3 linked regions of the Pelodiscus sinensis genome follow. The protein of the gene in region 3 interacts with the protein of the main gene of each other region in a biochemical or structural test. Links are inferred from orthologs where the notes say so. Each region holds a gene or a part of one and is shown on either strand. Other genes may lie near its edges.

Region 1 (3,744 bases), on a different chromosome or scaffold from region 3:
ATAGCACACCTGTTAAAAATATTTTGAAATAACAGATGGCTTATGTAGATGCAGGATAGCTATTTTGGGATACTTGTGGTATCCCAAAATAGCCATGCAGTGTAGACAAACCCAAAGAGAGGCATTTTCATGAGCTTGTACTGTATAGCTATCTATACAACATAAATCAGATTTTTCTAGGATTAGCTCCCAGAGGAGATGTTTACTTGACTTCTGGGAAAAGGACTCACTCTGTGCTGCTTTCAGGTGTATCTGCAGCCTTCATGGTGTGGCCTTATCCTTGTGTTTTGTTTGACGCAAGCTGGAGAGGTAGGCTCAACAAGACAGGGCTCCAGGGTGCCCAGGCTGTCAGGAGAAGCAGGCTCAGTGTTGTCTTGGCACATACCTGCATCCATATGTAGGCTTTTGCTGGCACAGCAATGTTGGTTGGAGTGTGTGAGTTTTCTTCATGCTCCTGGCCAACAAAGTTATGCCAAAAAAACTTGTGTGGACCAGGCCTTTTGTGAGAGATCAGAGTTGGAGAAAGAACTCCTCCCTCAAGTAGGTAGGGCCAATTCCATGGGGAGTTTTAAACTGGGATACAGATTTTGAACTGAATTGTATGTTGAGTAGAGAATCATTAACACCATAGAACTATTTCATCCTCCTTCAAATCCTTCCTAAAAACTCTAATTTGCTGTGATGCCTACAAAAAACTTGGCATAATTGTTAGTCTGGTGGTTTGCTGACCCAGAGGGAGGGAACACAACAGGTAATTGTCAAGTGATCTCTCTCCTGTCACCCATTTCCAGCCTCTCACAAACAGAGGCTAGGGACACCATTCCTATCCATCCTAGCCATTGATGGTAATCTCCATGAATTTATCTAGGTGTTTTAAATTTGATCATTTGAAGATTACCCGTTCTGTTCATTCCCTCTAGAGCACCTGTCATTGGCCACTATTGGAAAACAGCATATTGGGCTAGATGGAGCCTTGTTCTGACCCAGTATGGCTGTTCTCATGTTCCAGCACAAGCTCCTACCCCTACCCCCTCCCTGAGGCCGCCTCTGCACCCCTTCACCCCCAGCCCCACCCCAAAGCCTTCATCACCTGCACTTCTGCCTCTTGCCCCACCCTAAAACCCTTACTCCCTCCTGCATCTTGAATCCCTCAGGCCCACCCCTCAGCCTGGCGCTCCCTACTGCACAGCAAACCCTTCATCCCTTTCCCCACTCCAGAGCCCAGCTGGTGCCCTCAGCATCTCCCGCCCCCGCCCCGCGAAAGGAGGGAGGGGGGGGCTTGTGGGGGGAGGCGGGGCCGCGGGCGAAAGGCGGAGCCAGGATGTTGGGGGCACCAATAGAAAGTTGGCAACCCTAGAGCTGGGTATCCTCCCCCTCCGCCACCTGAGCTGGGAGGTGAGCGGGGAATCGGCTCCTGAAACTCGCCCCCCGCCGGAAGAGGCGTCTGCGTGCGGTATCTCCCGCCTGTGCGGAGCGAGGGCGCCTGCGTGCGACACCATCGCCCCGGGGCGCGCCACGCAGGGTTCAGCAGGGAATAGAGAGGACGAAGCAACACACGTGAGTCCGTGGAAGGCTCCTGCCGTCCCAAGCGTTTGCTGTCTCCTGTCAGCTGATTGGCCATCCTGTAAACCCTTGACCTCTGACCCCCTTTTTACTCCAATCGCCTCACTCCTCTCATGGGCTGGGGAGAGTGGAGGGTGTGAGCTGTGGGGGTTGGCATTCTCAGAGCGGCTGTACGCTGCTTGCGTTGGGCGGTCCTGTGGTGGTGGGTGGAGGGCGCGGGGTGGTGCTCTGTTTGCGTAGGGCCGGCCTCGCACGGGGAAGGGAGGGTAGGAGGCTGTCCCGGGCCCAGGTGAATGGAGGAACCTGACAGCTGGGGGGAGTGAGGCCGCGGCGGGGAAATGGCGGCGGGAGCAGCACAATGAGACGCGGCCTGTAGCGGGGAAGCGCTGGTCTGGGTCCAGCTCGGCAGGTAGGAGGCGGCGGGCGGCTCTGGCGTGTGCCTGGGCCGGTGGCTTCATGGCGGGGCCGGGCACCCAGCGGCGGGGCCGGGCAGCTTGTGCCACCGCCCGCTCTGGACATGTGCGCGGCTCGGCCCCTTTGGCGCCCGGCTGAGCCTCCCCTCGCTCCCAAGGCCTGGTTCACCTGTGCGCAGCCCCCGCCTGGCCCTGCCTGCCGGGGCCTAGCCACCCCCGTTGCCGCCATGCCCATGGACCCGGCTCAGCGGCGCCCAAGGCGAAGGGTCTCCGACGGGGGCCTGCGTCTCAGCCCTTCTCGCTGGCTTTGTCTTCTCTCTCTCCCCGGGCCTGCTGAGGAGCCCCGTCCCCACGCATCCCTGCCTCCCTCAGACCACAGCTGGGATTCCCGGGAGTTGCTTCCCCAGCGCCAATGAGAGACCCGTTATTAAAGGGGTGAAGGGCTTTTGATGCGGGTGTGGAGGGGTGTAGTTCTAACTGATAAATGTTACTCCTGGAGAGTTTTTAAGGATCGCTTCTCTCTCTCCTTCACCACCTCCCCTAGCTGAAACTAGCGGGGGCACTGCATGCCGTAAATATACAGTGAGAACATTACAAGATCCTCCCCCATAACCTGTATGAAAAATATTGCAAAGTCCAAGTGGCACATTAAAGCATTTACGTTGTGCTCCATGCTATAGAAAAGAAAGTGCTGCAATAGGGGAAAAAAAGTGGGTCATATATTGATACAAACCTGAAACAAACTCTTGCATTTCTTTGTGTATTGATTTTGTTCCTGAGATAACAGGCCTTTGGGAGAAGATAGCTTGTTGATGGGGTTAAGTCTTGGCCACTGAAAACTTAGAACATCCTATACACTTGGGCTGTGTCTACATTGGCAAGATTTTGCACAAAAGTGGCCGCTTTTGTGCAAAATCTTGCTGCCTGTCTACACTGGCCACGAGTATTTGCACAAGAACACTGATGTTGTAATGTACAAAATCAGGGCTTCTTGCACAAATACTCTGACGTTTCTGCTCAGGCAATGTTAATTTCTTGCGCAAGAAAGCCCGATGGCTAAAATAGCCATTGGAGCTTTCTTGCACAAGAGAGCGTCTACACTGGCACGGATGCTTTTGCACAAAAGCTCATGTCAGTGTAGATGCTCTCTTGTGCAAATACTTTTAACGGAAGAGTTTTTCCCCAATAAAAGTATTTGCGCTAAATCATGCCAGTGTAGACGTAGCCTTAATATTATCAGTTCTGTTTTTTAAGCAGCAAATGATTGCTTAAGCAAGATGGCCATGAATTCCACTAGTGAGAAAGGGAGAGCCTGCCTATTTAGTTTACAAATCTAGAGATCTCATGTGAAAACACTTTGATGTATATCTTTAGTTAACTAATCAGTGTGTGTTTAGTAATGCTTATTCTTCTCCTGTTGTCCTGTGTCTTGTTTAGACTGTAAATTCATTGGGAGGTTCATTCTTTTATTTGTGAAGTGCTATATACAGAAGCAGAGTTGCATATATATTTTTAACAACTCTGGTCTTTTAATGGTTTGATATAGGTACAAACTCAATCCCCATGTATCTTAATATTTTTCTAAAGGGAAGGCCTTTCCATGCTAGCTCATATCTTGTGGGGTCACAATCTGTAGTATTTAATGAAAAATATTAAAATGCTCCTTTTTAGTCCTAAGCAGCTCACCTAGAAAATAGTGGTGTATTTCTCCTGTTCCTACCCTTTTAATACAAGTAGATAGTGGTTATGGCTACAATTGTGTAATGGA
Region 2 (3,744 bases), on a different chromosome or scaffold from region 3:
CCCTCCTCTCCTTCAGGATAGTGGTAGAAATGTATCCCTTAGTCTGGTGCTGCTGAAACAAAAAACAGGACTATGTAGCACTTTAAAGACTAACAAGATGGTTTAATAGGTGATGAGCTTTCGTGGGCCAGACCCACTTCCTCAGATAAGAGTAGAAGAAAATTGTTATATGGTTGTGACAATTTTCTTCCACTATTTGATCTGAGGAAGTGGGTCTGGCCCACGAAAGCTCATCACCTATTAAACCATCTTGTTAGTCTTTAAAGTGCTGCACCTTCCTATTTCTCCTTCAGGCTGCGATCCCTTCAGTGTAAAACGCAGGAGTGCTGGAAAGAAGCCTAGGGCAGGGCGGCGGCTGCGCAGCGTAAAGGAGACGCTCCGTCACCTCACTGCTCTACCTGGTTCCTGTGGGTCACAAACAAGGGTTTCGCGTGAGACCCCCCCCCCCCAGACGCCAGAAAGGCGATTCGCGCTGTGCTGTGGCCGCTGCAGCAGCCAGGAGACCACTGAGATCCGTGCCAGAGTCACAGCCCAGCGCCGGCTGGGGCCGCGCTCGAGACTGTGGCTGCAGCAGGCAGGGCCGGGCTGAGACTGGGCCGCTGGATCAGGCTCTGCGGGGATGCACTCGGGCCGTAGACAAGCAGCTGAGGGGCCTCAGGATTAGCGCTCTGCGGCGCATGACAACGGGCCAATCAGAGGCGCGCTTAGAGGGAAGCCGCCCTATGACGCTATCAGTAGCTATGGTGGATACGCTTACTGTTGCCAAGGGCTGAAAAAGATGATAGGCGGGACACCCCAAACGCTTTCACCAATGACGTGCGCGCTTCATTAAGACTGACACCTTTCAGGCCCAATAGCGTTTCCCTCCGGCTATAACCTGCACGGGGCGGTGCAAGCTGGGGATAAATAGCGTCGCAAGCTGTGCCGGGTGTGCCCGTGTTGCGTCTCAGACAATAACTAACTGGGGGCGGGGCGTTGCATTTGTGGGTGTTTATCGCTGGGGCCCTTGTTGGTAACTTGGACACCAGTCAAACGCCTTCCCTCTGGCCGGGACCACACGGGAGCCGCTGTGCGTGCTTGATTGACGGTGATTTTACCTAGCTGAGCTAGGTAGTGCTGCCGGCGCGCAGTGACGCACCAACGCAGAAGTCTCTTTTAAGACCCGCAGCTTGGTGGGCGGGACTTTGTTTTGTGACGGGCCCAGCATTCATCCAATGGGTGGGAGAGAATAAAAATACAACCCAATGAAGGGTGCGGAAGAGCCCGAGAGTTGGGCGCGTTCTCGTCCAACGGCCTGGGTGTATAGCCAATGGGGAGAAAGGAGGAGGCGGTGCCAGACAATGAGTTAGGTGGAAGATGTATGTGACTGTCAGTGAGTGTAGCCAATGGGTGGGGAGATGGCGATGATGCCAGCCAATTGAAGTCGCAGAAAGGTGGGTATTGATGTGATAGGCAAGGGTTGTGGCTAATGGGCGGGGAGACTACGGAGACGCTATCCTATTAACAGTACGGAGGGGTGAAAAGAGGCGAGGTGTGTGATCGGCAGGAGCTGCGGCCAATGGGGGCGGACGCTGGCGCAACCCTGGCCAGTGAGCTGCGCAGGGGGCGTCACGGAGGCGTGTCTCGGTGTGTTTGGGTTCGTGCTCTCGGGGGGAGGGAGACGGCGACGAGGAAAGTTTTTATTTTTTAAATTGTATTTTGTTTCTAGTTTCTGGGGTTCGCGCTTCCCCTGCGGGTGACGCGGGTGGGTGAGAGGAGCCGCCCCCGGCGCTGAGGAGAACGGAACTACGCGCACCTCGGCGGTGAGTACGGGACAGGCCCCCCAGGCACAGGCAGCGCGGCGGGGGTCTCCGTCCGTCTCCCTGGGGCCCCGCGCTGCGTCTGTTCCCCCGCCCTCAGCGGGAGGGGTGGGGGCCTGGCTGGAGAGCCGCCCCGCCCGCCAGGGCTCCCTCCGGGCCACTCCTGCCTCGGAGCCGCAGGCGGCCGCTCGCTGGTCTCTGCCTGGGCGGTCCCGCTGGCTGCCCTCGGCCGGCTGGGGACTGAGGCGGCGCGCGCGGGGCCGGAGGGTGGCCCTAGGCCGGCGGGGTTTAACTGGTGCCCGAGCCCCGCCCCGTGCGGAGGGAGGGGCGGCTCCAGGCTCAGCCCGCGGGAGCCGAAACGGGAGCCGAGGCCCTGTGTGGGGCCTGCAGCGCTGCTCTGCCCGCGGCGTGCGAGGCCAGCTTGACCCGGCACGGCCTCGGCAACCGGCAGCGCGCGGGCCAGCGCAGAGCCTCAGTTGCCGCCGCGTAGCGCGCTGCGGGCCCCAGGGAGTGAGCAGGAGACTCTGAGCCCTGGCGGGTGGTTCTGCTTCCCGGCCGCCCCCAAGCAAGCCGCCAGCAAACCTCCAGTGGCTGGAGTTACCCCGCTCCGCTGCGTGCGGATGCGCTCCTGAGGTTATGTCGGTAGCACTACCGACCACATTGGATTTGTTGCATACGCGGCTGGTGGAATGAGTTTAGAGGCGGGAGGAGTAACCGAATTGAAGAGGAGTGTCCCAAGCCAAAGCCACTTTTCAGAGCTATTCCTGGCATAGGAAAATCCGAGGCGACACATTGCTAGGGCTGCTTCTCTCTCACTCTCGTGCCTGCTTTGTGGTGCTCCTTATGTTAATATATACGCTCTATGACTACATAGGGAAGTAACTGAAGTCACCTAATTTTGTGAGGCGTGGGCATGTTTTTTTTGTTAACTCAAGCCAAAAAATAAGTGGTCATGCTGAGGCCCCTCCATTTGCATTCACAGTCATACATGACCCTTCCGTTTTACTGTCCCAGTTTAGTTTCTATAACAGGGGTGGGCAATACTTTTTGTAAGGGGTGGGACACATCACCAATTTTGGTGGTAGTGGTGGCTGGCTGTGGGGCAGAGGAGCACATGAGATCTCTTGCACCTGCCCAGCCGAGGCACACAATGCCTAGAGGGAATTGCTAGTGTTTTGAACTGCTGGCCGTTCCCTCTGGAGCAGTGTACCCCTGATGGGGGGAGGAGACTCCATGCACTCTTCTGACCCTGGGTCTTGATTGGCCTGGAGGCAGGGCGCAGCGCTGCCAGCTGCAGACTGGATCAAATGGCTTGGCAGGCTGGATTCAGTCCCTGGGCCATATATTGCCCTTTCTATGAAGAAGCTTTTTTAATGTCAAAGTATATCTTGCTTTTTTAACTTTTGGGTTTAATATCCAGATTATTTTGAGGTGTCTGTACAGACTAGGGATGTTAAAAAGTGCTTAATTAGGTAACCATGTAACTGTTAAGTCTTAGCAGTTATTCGTAATGGGCTCTGCAGTATAAAGTTTTAACCCCCGGAGCTGGGCAGGCAGCAAGTGTGCACTGGAAGCTGGCTCTCAGCTGCTGACTCCACTCCTGGGGAGGCCTACAGCATGGGGCGGCAGCTCACTTCCACCTCCTGCTCTGCTCTTGGGGACCCAGTTGCCTCCCTTGCACTGCTGCCTCTGATTCAGGGTGGGTTGGGGGGGAGAAGAAAGAGAACAGGGTGAGGGGTGGTCTGGATTGAGGGGAGGAAGGGGTCCTTAGCCTTAGCCCAAGTCCCTGCCTTGAAGGACCCAGGCAAGGCGGCTGGTTAAATCTGCTAGTTTAAAAAAAAAAAAAATCAGTGTACCATTTGTCTCCTGGGCTATGTGTAGCAGTGAACAAAATGAATATTGTTGTTTGCGGGATTTGGCACTAAATCTTTTTATTACAGCCTAG
Region 3 (3,744 bases):
TGTTTGCTTATAAGCATGTACACTAAGTACTAAGCATGCTAAGTAACTAGGGATGTGAAAGTCTAGTCGAATGGTTGCTTCTGTGCCCCCCCCCCCGCTGCTTCTCTCAGAAAGAGGCAGCAAGGTGGGGAGGCGGAAGGGGGGAGAAGAAGAGGCGAACTTCAAAGCAACAATGCTGCATGGAGCCTGGGGCCAGACCCCGGGCTCCACACAGTGCTGCTGCTTTGAAACACAGTGAGTGAACTGGGCCAGCTGTGGTGTCCCCAGGCTCTTCGCAGAGTTTCAAAGCGGCAGCACCGGATGGAGCTCTGGGTCAGCAGGAGAGTCGCCCGTTGATCCTGGGCTCCACTCCATGCAGTGCTGACGCTTTGAAATGCTGCAAGGATCCTGACGCCGGGCTCCCTGCAGCGCTTCAAAGCAGCAGTGCTGCATGAAACCCGGGGTCAGTGGGGGAGTCCCAGGTTGACTCATGCGGCGGCACTTTTGCCTTTGATGTGTAGCAACAGCCTTAGGGCTGTTGCTACACGTCAAAGGCGGAGGTGCCCTATCGACTAATCAAATAGTCAATGCAAAATGCAGACTAGTCAAGTAGCCAATTACTCGCAATTTAATATCCCTATAAGTAACACTGCTAAAGCCTCTGTCCTCAGTCGATTTCCCTTCAAGGTCTCACTCCCCCTCTCCCTCCCCTTCTGAAATGGCACCCCTGGAGCCCTGGGCCTTTTTGAATGGCGGAGTCCTAGGACAGTTGCCTCTTTGCCCCCTTCTCCTACGGTCAGGCTTGCTAGGGAGTCCTGGGGGCAGGGTTTGCGCCATAGGTGATGCTGGAACTAAGTTAGGGGGTGTGGGCGCACCCTTTGGCTTGAAGAGGTTTCCCTCCTAGGCTACGTCTAGCCTGCAAGCCTCTTTCAAAAGAGGCTTTTTCGAAAGATATTTTCGAAAAAGCCGCTTTCGAAAAAGAGCATCTAGACTGCAACCCGTACTTTCGAAAAAGCAAGCCGCTTTTTCGAAAGAGAGCACCCCGGCAGTCTGGATGCTCTCTTTCGAAAAAGCACAGTTTGCATAACATAGCGCCTTTTTTCGAAAGAGCACTTTCGCAAAAAGGCGTTATTCTTCGCGAAATGAGGAGTACCGCCGTCGAAAGAAAAGCCGCGTTCTTTCTCGATTTAATTTCGAAAGAACGGGGCTGTAGTCTAGACGCAGGTGACATTTTTCGAAAAAAAGCTACTTTTTTCGAAAAAAAAAAAAAACCCTGCAGTCTAGACACAGCCCTAGACAGTTTGGGGCACGGCTCTCAACACCCCAATACAACTGCTCCCACAGCTCTTTAAGCTGGGGCAGCTCTGCCAGGGAAGGCGGGGGCGGGAATGTCCCTCCAGCCCGCACACGAGGGAGGGGAGGAGCAGGGTGCAGCCGCTTCAGCGAGGCGGGGGGGGGGGGGGGGGGGAGCGTGCGGCGGCGCTGAGGGCAGCCCCTGGTCGCTGAGGCGGCGCTTCCCGCCGGCAAAGGGAGGGAGACGGACACTGGGTGGGAGGAGCCTCTGCCTCCCCCGTGACCACCCGGCTCCTCCCAGCCCCAGCGCCGCCGAGTAACCTGGTTCCCCGGCTCGGAGTCGGCCCTCCTCCTCCCTGCCTTGAGAGTGCAGCCGGGGCTCGGGCTAGTTCCCCAGAGCGGCCGCTGAGGTAGGAACCGCCGGCCCTGCGGAGAGGCGCTGCCGCCGCCGCCGCCGCCGCCTCCTCACGCGGAGACATGTACCCAGGAGCTGCTCCCGCCGCCGCTGCCGCCGCCTCTCCCGGACCCGGTGAGTCCCCAGCCGCCCGCTCCTCCCCGGCTCCAGCTTGGTTTGAACGCGTGGGACCGTTGGTGCGTGAACCGCGCGAGACGCGGCGCGAGGTCCCCCCCGCGAGACGGAGGTGGGGTGGGGGGGGGCGAGCGCGCGCGCGCGAGGTGCCAACCGCCCAGCGCGGAGGCGGGGGGGGAGGTTGAAGCCCTCGCGCGCCCCAGCGCGCGCGTCGGCTTCCCTCTCCCCGCCGCCGCTGGGCCTTGTGGAGACTCCCGGAATGGCCGCAGCGGCCCGGCTGTGTGCTGCCGAAGGGGCGGGGAAGGAGGGGTCAGGCGGCCGCCGTCCCCCCCTCCTCCTCCTCCTCGGGGAGGGCTCGAGCGAGCGTGCGTCTCCTCAGGCCCCTTTGTGGGCAGGGGTCCCTCCCTCCTTCGGCCGCGGTGGGGAGCCGAGGAGACGTCGGGTGCAAGGCCCCGCGGGAAGCCTGCGGTGGCGGGGAGGGGCGGCCGACCTGGCGCTGCGAAGCTGCCGCAGGAACTCCAGGGGCCTGCTCGCCTCGCGCAGCCCGCCCCTGCTCCACCAGCCGGAGCCGGGCGGGGGGTTAGTGCTTGGTAGCCATGGAGCCCGTGGTGGTCCATGCACGCACTGGGGCAGAGGTGCTCAAACTTCACTGCACTGCAATCCCTTCCTGGCAACAGAAACTACTGCACAAGCCCGTCCTCCCCCGGAATGGGGACCCAGGCAGAAACCTGCCCGAGCTCAGCCGCCTGGGGTGATGGGGCACCAAACCACAAATGCCAGGTCTTCAGCTGCAGGTGGAGACATCCAGGGCTGAAACCCTCGAGCTTTGGCTTCCGTCCAGACAGTAGGACTGAGACTTCGGCCCACACTCCAAGTCTAATGTTAGCCAGGGTGACACCATTAAAATGGAGCTGTGACCCATAATTTGAGAACCTCTGCATTAAGATGTCCACTGACATCCTGTTGCTGCCTGCATGGTATTGTAGAGTCACCAGGCAGGATCCCAGTTGCTATCTCCAGTACATGTTGCTGCTGTTGCCAGTACTTATTGGCTTGGAGCTTACCATGGCTGTCCTATGTCCCAGCAGGTCATTGTTGCACTAACTATTTGTGACTGCATTGCTGCCACTACCAAGGATCTAGTAGACATGCTGGCATTGCCGTTCTTGCAACTTCGATTGAGTTTATAACACTAGTGTGAGGCCCTGCCGCCACTGTGGCAGCTGGGTTTGCTGTTGTGGAGTGGTTCAAGTGCATCAAAGTGTTCAGGAGGAATTCACCAGTTATGATGGATGTTGCCATACTGTATCATTTGGCAATGAATAATCTTTCTTTTGGCCTGGAACCCACCAAGGAGAAGTTTATATTCCCAAATAAGCTTGTAACCAAGAAAGTGAAAGTGAGAGTTTGTGTGCATTGGTTATAAAAGCAAAGAATAGTAAATATTTACCAGAGCAGGAACTGCAGCCTGTTCTCCTTCACAAATGTGTGCCTTTCCATTTTCACACACAATGGGAAGTGACTGTCTAGAAAGGAGTACTGCAGAAAGAAATCTAGGAATCATAGTGGACCACAAGCTAAATAGGAGTCAACTGTGTGACACTGTTGCCAAAAAAGCAATCATTCTGGTATGCATTAACAGGTGTGTTGTGAGTAAGACACGAGAAATAATTCTTCCACTTTACTTTGTATGCCTCCACTGAAGTATTGTGTCTACTTCTGGGCATCACGTTTCAGGAAAGATGTGGTCAAATTGGATGAAGGTCCATAGAAGAGCAACCACAAAAGGTCTAGGAAATTGACCTATAAGGAAAGATTGATAGATTGTGTTTATTTAGTCTAGAAAAGAGGAAACCGAGGGAACATGATAGCAGCTTTCAAGAACCTAAAAGGGTGTTACAAGGAGGAGGGAGAAAAAATATTTTCCTTAACCTCTGATGATA

What was found.
Region 1: the proteins of AGO2 (region 3) and DICER1 form a complex in vitro, tested with the Homo sapiens proteins (2 studies listed by BioGRID and IntAct). The link is inferred for Pelodiscus sinensis from reciprocal best matches to the Homo sapiens genes AGO2 and DICER1.
Region 2: the proteins of AGO2 (region 3) and TNRC6B form a complex in vitro, tested with the Homo sapiens proteins (3 studies listed by BioGRID and IntAct, with this or other methods). The link is inferred for Pelodiscus sinensis from reciprocal best matches to the Homo sapiens genes AGO2 and TNRC6B.

The regions. Positions count from the first base shown.
Region 1 is NC_134714.1:28,338,199-28,341,942, forward strand, and holds the start of DICER1 (endoribonuclease Dicer), read left to right. Parts: upstream 1-1,346; 5' UTR 1,347-1,557; intron 1,558-1,788; exon of another isoform or gene 1,789-1,972; intron 1,973-3,744. UniProt on the Homo sapiens protein: Double-stranded RNA (dsRNA) endoribonuclease playing a central role in short dsRNA-mediated post-transcriptional gene silencing.
Region 2 is NC_134711.1:90,366,564-90,370,307, reverse strand, and holds the start of TNRC6B (trinucleotide repeat-containing gene 6B protein), read left to right. Parts: upstream 1-1,316; 5' UTR 1,317-1,433; intron 1,434-1,487; exon of another isoform or gene 1,488-1,626; intron 1,627-1,632; exon of another isoform or gene 1,633-1,708; 5' UTR 1,709-1,802; intron 1,803-3,744.
Region 3 is NC_134712.1:7,742,971-7,746,714, forward strand, and holds the start of AGO2 (protein argonaute-2), read left to right. Parts: upstream 1-1,449; 5' UTR 1,450-1,749; coding exon 1,750-1,801; intron 1,802-3,744.